Linked DNA regions of Anolis sagrei. The protein of the gene in region 3 interacts with the protein of the main gene of each other region in a pairwise test. Links are inferred from orthologs where the notes say so. Each region holds a gene or a part of one and is shown on either strand. Other genes may lie near its edges.

What was found.
Region 1: the proteins of YAE1 (region 3) and CEP126 interact in a two-hybrid assay, tested with the Homo sapiens proteins (2 studies listed by BioGRID and IntAct). The link is inferred for Anolis sagrei from reciprocal best matches to the Homo sapiens genes YAE1 and CEP126.
Region 2: the proteins of YAE1 (region 3) and LTO1 interact in binary tests that used the Homo sapiens proteins (3 or more experiments, as listed by UniProt). The link is inferred for Anolis sagrei from reciprocal best matches to the Homo sapiens genes YAE1 and LTO1.

The regions. Positions count from the first base shown.
Region 1 is NC_090023.1:22,939,414-22,943,165, reverse strand, and holds the start of CEP126 (centrosomal protein of 126 kDa), read right to left. Parts: upstream 2,833-3,752; 5' UTR 2,663-2,832; coding exon 2,484-2,662; intron 1-2,483. UniProt on the Homo sapiens protein: Participates in cytokinesis. Necessary for microtubules and mitotic spindle organization. Involved in primary cilium formation.
Region 2 is NC_090021.1:266,672,541-266,676,292, reverse strand, and holds the start of LTO1 (protein LTO1 homolog), read left to right. Parts: upstream 1-1,097; 5' UTR 1,098-1,233; coding exon 1,234-1,292; intron 1,293-1,861; coding exon 1,862-1,967; intron 1,968-2,223; coding exon 2,224-2,294; intron 2,295-3,752. UniProt on the Homo sapiens protein: The complex LTO1:YAE1 functions as a target specific adapter that probably recruits apo-ABCE1 to the cytosolic iron-sulfur protein assembly (CIA) complex machinery. May be required for biogenesis of the large ribosomal subunit and initiation of translation.
Region 3 is NC_090026.1:68,681,769-68,685,520, reverse strand, and holds the start of YAE1 (protein YAE1 homolog), read right to left. Parts: upstream 2,661-3,752; 5' UTR 2,542-2,660; coding exon 2,419-2,541; intron 1-2,418. UniProt on the Homo sapiens protein: The complex LTO1:YAE1 functions as a target specific adapter that probably recruits apo-ABCE1 to the cytosolic iron-sulfur protein assembly (CIA) complex machinery. May be required for biogenesis of the large ribosomal subunit and initiation of translation.

The DNA.
Region 1 (3,752 bases), on a different chromosome or scaffold from region 3:
GTCTGGAGAGAATACTTCTGGAACAGGGCCACACAGCCTGTAAAACTCACAGCAACCCAATGATTCTGGCCATGGAAGCTTTTGATAACACAAGATATAAACTGCCATATAATCCAATTCAATGGAGATTTTATACAGCTATGTGGAAAGGGCCTCATCTACACTGCCATATAAAATCCAGGTTATCTGCTTTGAGCAGGATTGTATGGCAATGGAGACTCATATACCCCAGTGCAAAGCAGATAATGTGGATTATCTGTCTTGATCAGTGTTTCTCAACCTTCCCAATGCCGCAACTCTTTAATACAGTTCCTTATGTTGTGGTGACTCCCAACCATAACATTATTTCCAATTTTAACTCTACATTTGGCCTCCCCACTGTTTTTAATTATGTGTTGTTTTATTGATAATGTTGTGTATCTTACTGGCTATGTGTTTTTTAATTGATTGTATTGTTGTTATTATTGCTTGTATTGTTGCGTTTGGGCTTGGCCTCATGTAAGCTGCACCGAGTCCCTTGGGGAGATGGTAGCGGGGTACAAATAAAGTGTTGTTGTTGTTGTTGTTGTTGTTGTTATTATATTACTATTATTATTTTAGTTGCTACTTCATAACTGTAATTTTGCTAATATTATTAATTGTAATATAAATATCTGATATGCAAGATGTGTTTTCATTCACTGGACCAAATTTGGCACAAATACCCAAATATGAATACTATTGAGGTTGGGGTGGGTGGGTTATTTTGTCATTTGGGAGTTGTAGTTGCTGGGATTTATAGTTAACTTACAATCAAAGAGCATTCTGAACTCCACCAACGATTGAATTGAACCAAATGTGGCACACAGAACTCCCATGACCAACAGAAAATACTGGAAGGGTTTTGTGGGCACTGACCTTGAGTTTTGGAGTTGTAGTTCACCTACAAAAATAGAGGGAGAAAATGTGGAGGCTGTGACAGACTTTGTATTTCTAGGTGCAAAGATTACTGCAGATGCAGACAGTGGCCAGGAAATCAGAAGACGCTTACTTCTTGGGAGGAGAGCAATGTCCAGTCTCGATAAAATTTTAAAGAGTAGAGACATCACACTGGCAACAAAGATCCGCCTAGTCAAAGCCATGATATTCCCTGTAGTAGCCTACAGATGTGAGAGCTGGACCTTAGGGAAGGCTGAGCGAAGGAAGATAGATGCTTTTGAACTGTGGTGTTGGAGGAAAGTTCTGAGAGTGCCTTGTACTGCAAGAAGATCCAACCAGTCCATCCTCCAGGAAATAAAGCCCAACTGCTCATTGGAGGGAAGGATACTAGAGACAAAGTTGAAGTACTTTGGCCACATCATGAGGAGACAGCAAAGCCTAGAGAAGACAATTATGCTGGGGAAAGTGGAAGGTAAAAGGAAGAGGGGCCGACCAAGGGCAAAATGGATGGATGGCATCCTTGAAGTGACTGGACTGACCTTGAAGGAGCTGGGGGTGGTGACGGCCGACAGGGAGCTCTGGCGTGGGCTGGTCCATGAGGTCACGAAGAGTCGGAGACAACTGAACGAATGAACAACAACATGTTATTGTTATTATTTATTTTTGTTTATGAGATTTATTTTACTGTTTTGTATTGCTTATTTTGTTACTGCCTTCGTTTTATTGATGTACTGTGGGCTTGGCCTCATGTAAGCCGCACCGAGTCCCTTGGGGAGATGGTAGCGGGGTACAAATAAAGTTTTATTATTATTATATTATTATTATAACTGCAATTTTGCTAATATTATTAATTGTAATGTAAATATCTGATATGCAAGATGTGTTTTCATTCACTGGACCAAATTTGGCACAAATACTCAAATATGAATACTACTGGGGTTAGGGGGTATTGAGTTTGTCATTTGGGAGTTGTAGTTGCTGGGATTTATAGTTAACTTACAATCAAAGAGCATTCTGAACTCCACCAACGATGGAATTGAACCAAACGTGGCACACAGAACTCCCATGACCAACAGAAAAGGGTTTGGTGAGCACTGACCAACAGAAAATACTGGAAGGGTTTGGTGGGCACTGACCTTTAGTTTTGGAGTTGTAGTTCACCTACATCCAAAGAGCACTGTGGACTCAAACAATGACGGATCTGGACCAAACTTGGCACAGATACTCAATATGCCCAAATGTGAACACTGCTGGAGGTTGGGGGAAAATAGACCATGACTTTTGGGAGTTGTAGTTGCTGGGATTTATAGTTCATCTACAACCAAAGAGCAATCGGAACCCCATCAATAGAATTGGTCCAAACTTCTCACACAGAACCACCATGACCAACAGAAAATTCCTGATGGTGTTTGGCGACCCCTCTGACACCCCCCCCCCCTCGACCTCCCTCCCCCCCCCCCCGGGGTCCCGACCCTCAGGTTGAGAAACGCTGGTCTTGATTATCTTGGGACCTTCCTGTCAGGCTGTTTCGGCCCCACAAAAGGCCGGCGGAGAGGAGAGGATACGGCGAGGAGGGGGAGAAAGCGGCCCAGGCCCGGCGCCCCAGACCCTGCGGCAGGGCGCTCTCCGAGAGGCCCTTCCTGAGGCCTTCCCCTTCGCGGCCTCGGCGCCAGGCCTCCGCCGCCCGCTCGGAGCCGCTGGAGGGGTTGCTGCCGCTTCTGCCGCCGCCGCCGCCGGGCTCCATCCATCCACCCCGCTCAGCCCGCCGCCGCCGCCATCGCCCTCTCGAAGGCCTCGCTCTGTCTTCCCCGAAAGGGAACCTCAGAACCAGGCGCCATCGTAGCAACCCGCGACGCTACTTCCTTCGCAACGGTAACCAAGGGAGACGGCGCGCGCGACCGGCGATTGGATGGAGCTAATCCAAAATGGCCGCCGGGAAAAGGGGCGGGGCGACAAGGAGGGGGCGGGGCCCGGAAGGCAGCCTTTCAAAACAATCCTAAGGCACTGGGTTAGCTTGCGACTGGGGCCAGCCAAAGTGTTTCCTTTGGACTTCATTTCCCAGAATTCCTGACCATTCACCCAGGTGACTGAGGCTTCTGGGGGTTGAAGTCCAAAGAAAACCTTGACAGCTACAGTTTTAAAGCCATGGTGCTCATCCAGGTTTTTTTTAAAAGACTTCATTTCCCAGAATTCCTAAACATTCGCCAAAGGGACTGAGGCTTCTGGGAGTTGAAGTCCAAAAGGAATAGTTCCCTATTGGGTTGTTGTAGGTTTTTTCAGGCTGTATGGCCATGTTCTAGAGGCATTCTCTCCTGACGTTTCGCCTGCATCTATGGCAAACATCCTCAGAGGTTGTGAGGTCTGTTGGAAGTAGGAAAAAGAGTTTATATATCTGTGGAATGACCAGGGTGGGACAAAGGACTCTTGTCTGCTGGAGCTAGGTGTGAATGTTTCAACTGACCACCTTGATTAGCATTTGATGGCCTGGCAGTGCCTGGGGAAATCATTCCACAGATATATAAACCCTTTTTCCTAGTTCCAACAGACCTCACTACCTCTGAGGATGCTTGCCATAGATGCAGGCGAAACATCAGGAGAGAATGCCTCTAGAACATGGCCATATAGCTCGAAAAAACCTACAACAACCCAGTGATTCCGGCCATGAAAGCCTTCAACAATACAATAGTTCCCTATGTTTTGTCTTCCAGAGTTTTCAGTTCAACTTCCAAAAGCACCAGCCAATTTAGACAACTGCCAGGATTTATGGGAACTGAAAATATTGGAGACTTCTGGGAGTTAAAGTTCAAAATATATTATTATTATTAATAATAATA
Region 2 (3,752 bases), on a different chromosome or scaffold from region 3:
TTACACTGCCCAATAATGCAGTCTCAGAATGCAGTTTAGTGCTTTTACTGCTTTTATATGGTCTGTACACTGCTTAGCCGGTATTGCACCACCTGACATCCACCGGGAAGTAGCAGCCAATAGTGAAAGGACCAAGGCAGAGACAGCTCCAGCTCATCCCCTGTTTGGGTATCAGCCAGCATGTCTACGACTTAAATCTAGACATAGTTTTCTAAGATCTACAGAGACACTCTCTGGAACACAGCAGCAAGCGAGAGTCCAAAAGTGGCAGGCTCAAACCCAGAATCTCAACAAATGGCTGATACCAAATGAGAGACTCCCCCCTGGGCACACAGAGGACTGGGCGACTTGGAAGGTGCTGAACAGACTGCGCTCTAGCACCACAAGATGCAGAGCCAACCTTCAGGAATGGGGCTACAAAGTGGAATCCTCGACATGCGAATGGGGAGAGGAGCAAACCACTGACCACCTGCAATGCAACCTGAGCCCAGCCACATGCACAATGGAGGACCTCCTTGCGGCAACACCAGAGGCACTCCAAGTGGCCAGATACTGGTCAAAGGAGATTTAATCAACTACCAAACTCACACATTTTGTATTTTGTCTGTTTGTTTGCTTTGTTCTGTTAGAAATGTAATATAATTGACTGGTTGCCCTGAAACGAGAAATAAAAAATAATAAATAAATAAATAAATAAATAAAATATGGTCTGTATTATATGTTAATGTTTTGAATTATATTTTATGTTGTTGGTGACATTGATTACCGATTGTAAACCGCCTCGAGTTGCCTTCGGGCTGAGAGAGGCTGTATATAAGTATGGTTGGTAAATAAATAAATAAATAAATAAATAAATAAATAAATAAATAAATAAATAGATGTATTGCACTGGATTATATGAGCCTACACACTCATATGCAGGTGATCTGCATTCTGAAACTGCTCTACAGGAACTTTGTAGAAGGCGCCACTTTCTTTTTTCACAGAGGACGCGCGCCCTCCAGTGGCATGTCTGCGGAACGACAGGAGAAAAAGATGCCGGGAGGGAATGAACTCACCGCGTTCTCCGGATTCCGGCCCTGACGTCACGAGGGGAAGCCGGCTCCTTCTACGGAGCATGCGTAGAACGGCCCTGCGGATTGATCCCTCCGGCGTGCCGTCCATCGTTCTGCGCATGATTGGGAGGACTGCTTGTGAGGAAGAGTTGCTCGGGAGCCGTCCAGCGGAGCCGTGATGGAAGAAGGCGGCCTTGAGCCGGATGCTTTCGACGCCATCGTCATGGCAGAGGCAAGGTACGTGGGCTCACCGTGGTTTCGGGCCTACTCTCTGGGCCTTTTGGATTTAACTTTCTCCTTCGCCTCTGTACTGGGAGAGAGAGAGAGAGAGAGAGAGAGAGGCCCCTTCCACACAGCTGAATAAAATCCCACATTATCTGCTTTGAACTGGGTTATATGGCAGTGTGGACTATGCCTTGATATTCTGGGTTATATAGCTGTGAGGAAGGGCCCAGAGAATCATAGAATCCTAGAGTTGGAAGAGACCTCATGGGCCATCCAGTCCAACCCCCTGCCAAGAAGCAGGAATATTGCATTCAAATCACCCCTGACAGATGGCCATCCAGCCTCTGCTTAAAAGCTTCCAAAGAAGGAGCCTCCACCACACTCCGGGGCAGAGAGTTCCACTGCTGAACAGCTCTCACAGTCAGGAAGTTCTTCCTCATGTTCAGATGGAATCTCCTTTCTTGTAGTTTGAAGCCATTGTTCTGCGTCCTAGTCTCCAGGGAAGCAGAAAACAAGCTTTCTCCCTCCTCCCTATGACTTCCTCTCATGTATTTATGCATGGCTATTGTGTCTCTTTATAGATTTCATGGCGAAGGCTACCAGGAAGGCTATGCTGAAGGACTTCATGCTGGTGTCATTGAAGGAAGGCAATATGGAGTGCAGCAAGGGGCTAACATTGGATTAGAAGTATGTACTGATCTTGTTTCAAGCGAGAGAGATATATTACTCTGTTAATTAAACACCTGCAGTTCTATAATTGACCTTATTGAAATTCTGTGGCAGTAAAAACACATTCATTTAATCCAAATTAAGCTTTGTGTAACTATTTATTTAAGATGTTTTTAAAAAGAAAATGTGACTTGAGCTGCTGTTATTAGAGAGGAAGTAATATTGTTAGTATTGGTAACATAAGAATAAAAATACCTCTTTTTCAAATATATAGATTGGGTCATATCTTGGTTTTGCAGTGACATGGAAGAAATTGCTTAATGCCAGTTCTGATGAAAAACACAGGTAGGTATGAAACTATACATTCATATTCTCTCTTTCTCTATCACTCACACACACACACACACACACACAATGAACCAGATAGGAATTTATTCACTTGTGGAGTGGGATTTTGAACCAGGGGATTAGTTCTAGTGATGTGGTAGAGCGTATTATTTGTATACATTCTTCACTCTTTTCTTGTTATTTCCTGTACTTTCACGAAACTTGGTGTGTGGGGTTAGGGAAATGCTGTAACTATAAGGAGGTTCACTCAAGAAACTTCAATCAGGAAAGAGAATGATAAGGGAGCAAGTAATATTTTCTCAGTTTATTTCAGATCTCCTTATCATAGGTTTATTCCTCAGATGTGTGATTTTTCTTTTGGATTAAGACAAAAAATACTTGTAGGGAGAGGCAGAGAATACCGGAAAAGGAAATAAAGGTGCAGTCAATCACAGCCTGAGAGTTACAGTCAAGATGGGGTGAAGAGGAATTAAAGAAGACAGCATTATTTACCGGGATTGTGGCGCAGCTGGCTGAGTGTCAGCTGCATTAAGATCACTCTGACCAAAAGGTCATGAGTTCGAAGCCAGCCCGGGCTGGAGTGGGTGTCCAGCCATTGTGTAGCCCGTTGTCGACCTTTGCAACCCGAAAGACAGTTGCATCTGTCAAGTAGGAAAAAAAGGGACCACCTTGTGTGGGAGGCTAAATTTAACTAATTTATGAGGCCATAAAGAAAGAAGACTCCGGGGAATGTGGAATGCGGAAGAACTTCATCGGTGTCGTTGATGGACGATGAAAAGCAGCAGCTCCCCTGGCGGCCAGAAAAAAAAAAAGTTAAATAGCCTTTGTCTGTTAAATGTTGTTTGTCAAACTGGCATTGAATGTTTGCCATATATGTGTTTACTGTAATCCGCCCTGAGTCCCCTGCGGGGTGAGAAGGGCGGAATATAAGAACTGTAAATAAATAAATAAAATAAATACTCTTCCTTGCATTTGGACTTAAGGCCTAAAAACGACAGCACTGGCTGCTGTGCCTGCTCAGTATTCTAAATCATACTATGTATTATGTCTAGACCTTTGGAAACATGGTATAGAAAACTTCACTTCTTAAATATTTTAAGAAAGCTCAGCAAAAATATTCAGTTGAATCATTGTAGATAATGCTTGCTTGAACTGATATCATTATTGCTGCAGGTGATTTTGGCTTCTTGAACAAGAGGATCTAAGTTAGGTTTTATAATGTAATAATAATAATAATAATAATAATAATAATACTTTATTTCTATATCGCCCTCTCTCTCCAGAGGGACTCAGGGCAATTTACACACAAAAAGCATACATTCACTGCCTCAAAATGGGTACAAACATCAAAATAATACAGATAATGGATAGTAAAAAACAAGAAACTTACAACTAAAGAATTGAGTATCGAAATAAAAATAAAATGAGAACAATCGACTAAGACATAAAAAACTA
Region 3 (3,752 bases):
CCCGCCTTGAGTCACTGTATGGCTGAGAAAGGCGGGCTATAAATAATCACAAACAAATAAATAAAAACCCCCACATTATCTACACCACTGGAGAAATTACACTGTTTAGCTGGTAATGCACCACCTAACATCTGCTGAGAAGTAGCAGCCAATAGTGAAAGGACCAAGGCAGTGACATCTCCAGCTCATCTCTTGTTTGGGTATCAGCCAGCATGACTTAAATCAAGAAATAGTTTTCTAAGATCTACAGAGACACTCGCTGGAACACCTCAGCAAGCAAGAGTCCAAAAGTGGCAGGCTCAAACCCAGAACCTTAACCAATGGCTGATACCAAATGAGAGACTCCCCCTTGGGCACACAGAAGACTGGGAAACTTGGAATGTGCTGAACAGACAGCGCTCTGGCACCAAGAGATGCAGAGCCAACCTTAAGAAATGGGGCCACAAAGTGGAATCCACGATATTTTATTTTATTTATTTATTATTTGAAATTATATGCCGCCACTCCCCTGGGGCTCGGAGCATGCGAGTGTGGAGAAGAGCCAACCACTGACCACCTGCTGCAATGCAACTTGAGCCCTGCTACATGCACAGTGGAGGACCTTCTTGCGGCAACACCAGAGGCACTCCAAGTGGCCTGATACTGGTCAAAAGACATTTAACCAACTACCAAGCTTGCAAACTTTGTGTTTTTTATCTGTTTGTTTGTTTTGTTCTGTTAGAAATGTAATACAATGGCCTGGTCGCCCCTGACACGATAAATAAATCTGCTTGGAACTGGGATATATGGCAGTGTGAGCTCATCTTCCAGTTCAAAGCAGATATTGTGGGCTCATTACAGAGAGACGTCAACCCTCATGTTCAAGGAGCTCCACTGGCTGCCGTTTATTTCCCGAGCCCAATTTAAGGTGCAGGTGCTTACCTACAAAGCCCTGAACGGTTTGGGACCACCCTATGTGCGTGACCGCATCTCCGTCTACGAACCCACGCATTCACTTCGGTCATCTGGAGAGGCCCTGCTCGTGATCCCGCCTGCGTCGCAAGTGCGCTAGGTGGGGACTCGAGACAGGGCCTTTTCTGTGGTGGCCCCCCGACTCTGGAACACCCTCCCAAGAGATCTTAGACAGGCCCCTACACTGGCAGTCTTCAGAAAGAACTTGAAGACCTGGCTGATCCGATGTGCCTTCTCAGATTAGGAACCTCCAATACCAAGTCCTAGAAGCACTTTAGTAGAACTAAGATTACTGCACACCGCACTTACTTATAATCCTACATACCTCCTGCCACATCAGCACTTTTAATCTTGTACCCATTACTCTGGCCCGGCCCAGTTTTATAGTGTTTCGATGTATTGTTTATTGTTTGTTCTGCTTAACTGTTTTTAATTTGCTTTAGGTATTGTATTGTTGTATTGTGTTTTGAGGCCTTGGCCTATGTAAGCCGCATCGAGTCCTTCGGGAGATGCTTTTGTTGTTGTTGTTCATTCGTTCAGTCGTCTCCGACTCTTCGTGACCTCATGGACCAGCCCACGCCAGAGCTCCCTGTCGGCCGTCACCACCCCCAGTCTGCATCTGCAGTAATATTTGCACCTAGAAATACAAAGTCTGTCATGGCCTCCACATTTTCTCCCTCTATTTTCCAGTTGTCAATCATTCTTGTTGCCATAATCTTGGTTTTTTTGATGTTTAGCTGCAACCCAGCTTTTGCGCTTTCTTCTTTCACCTTGATTAGAAGGCTCCTCAGTTCCTCCTCGCGTTAGGCCATCAGAGTGGTGTCATCTGCATAACTGAGGTTGTTAATGTTTCTTCCAGCAATTTTCACCCCAGCTTTGCATTCATCAAGCCCCGCACATCACTTTATGTGTTCTGCATACAAGTTAAAAAGGTTGGGTGAGAGTATGCAGCTTATGTTTTAATTTGCTTTAAATTGTGTTGTTATTGTTTTGCTATTGTTGTGTTGAGGCCTTGGCCTTTGTAAGCCGCATCGAGTCCTGTGGGAGATGCTAGCGGGGTACAAATAAAGTTTAATAATAATTAATAATAATAATAATAATAGTAATTATTATTATTATGGTCTGGTTGCCCCTGACACTATAAAGAAATCTGCTTGGAACTGGGATATATGGCAGTGTGGGCTCATCTTCCAGTTCAAAGCAGATATTGTGGGTTATTCTGCCTTGCTATTCTGGGTTATATGGCAGTGTGGAAGGCCCCTCTGTCTCAATCACCTGGAAGACAGGTTTAGATTTGGAAACATTCAGGACAAGGGAGGCTCAGCCTGTAGAGACCGTTCTCAATGGTTCAAAATTACACACACAACTTCTTTGCTACTGGAAGGAGGAGGAGAAGGAAAGGGGAGCCCATTGGTTTTGCCTCCCAAAGCCAGGCGAGGCCTTCGCCGCTCAGCTGCCCGCCATTACTTTGACGCGGCTCTCCATGGCGCTCTTCCACTCCTTCTGAGCCACGTCCAGCTCGTCCGCCTCTTCGTCGAAGACGTCCTCGCCACTGCCGCGGGGCTCCAGCAAGGCCCTCGCCCACGACATGCTCCGCTGACAAAGAGGCAGGTCAGTAATTACTCGAGCAACGCCTCCCTCCGTGGAAGGCCTCCTTGTTGACTCGAGAGCGAGCGGAAGCCGGCCAGAAGACCAAGCACTCCTTCCGGGGTGAGGACGTCACTTCCGGCGCAGGGAAGACGTTATGGCCCAGCGCGCTCTCTCGCCCAGTGTATTCTCCATCACGGATGCGGAAGCATCCCTTTGTTTGTTGTGATATGTCGCAATTCCGTTTCCAAATCGTGTCCAAATGGCTGTAGCCAGTGTGAAGGGCAGCTCTTCTCTAATCAGGTACTGTGCTGCAGTAAAATGCACAATTGCATGAAAGTAATAATACTGTACAAGCTATTTGTTACAGACCTCTCCTCACATGGCTATGCTGTATCACCTCTTTAGAAGTGGGAGTAGGAGAAAGTCCCTCCACACAGCTATATAACCAGAATATAAAGGCCCCTTACACACAGCTAAATAAAAGCCCACATTTTCTGCCTTAAGCTTGAATATATGGCAGTGTGGACACAGATAACTCAATGTATTGTCGAAGGCTTTCATGGCTGGAATCACTAGGTTCTTGTAGGTTTTTTCGGGCTATAGGGCCATGTTCTAGAGGCATTTCTCCTGACGTTTCGTCTGCATCTATGGCAAGCATCCTCAGAGGTAGTGAGGTCTGTTGGAAGTAGGACAATGGGTTTATATATCTGTGGAATGGCTGGGGTGGGGCACAGAGCTTTTCTCTGCTGGAGCTAGGTGTGAATGTTTCAACTGACCACCTTCATTAGCATTTGAAGGCCTGGCTGAGCCTGGGAAAATCCTTTGTTGTGAGTAGGGCTGGGTAACCACGGAAAAATTTGTTTCTAAACTCGATTCATTTTTAAGGGGTCCATCACGTTTCGTTTCTTTAAAGAATTCCGAAATTTTCCTTTTAAAAATTTCGAAATATACGAAATTTCATAAATTTTGAATCGATTCGTTAATGGCGGACGCGATTGTGCAGTATGCTAAAAAAACCCTCCAAATATGCTAAAAATATGCTGAAAAAACCTCCAAATGGGACAGGGGGAACTTCTAAAGCTTCCCTCTCCCTCTGTTGTTGACTGTTGGTGTGATAAAACAAACAACAACTATAAAACTTGCACCAGGCATGTGAAAATAATTACGAAACAATTTCGAAACAATTACGAAATAAGTTGAAAAAATTGTTT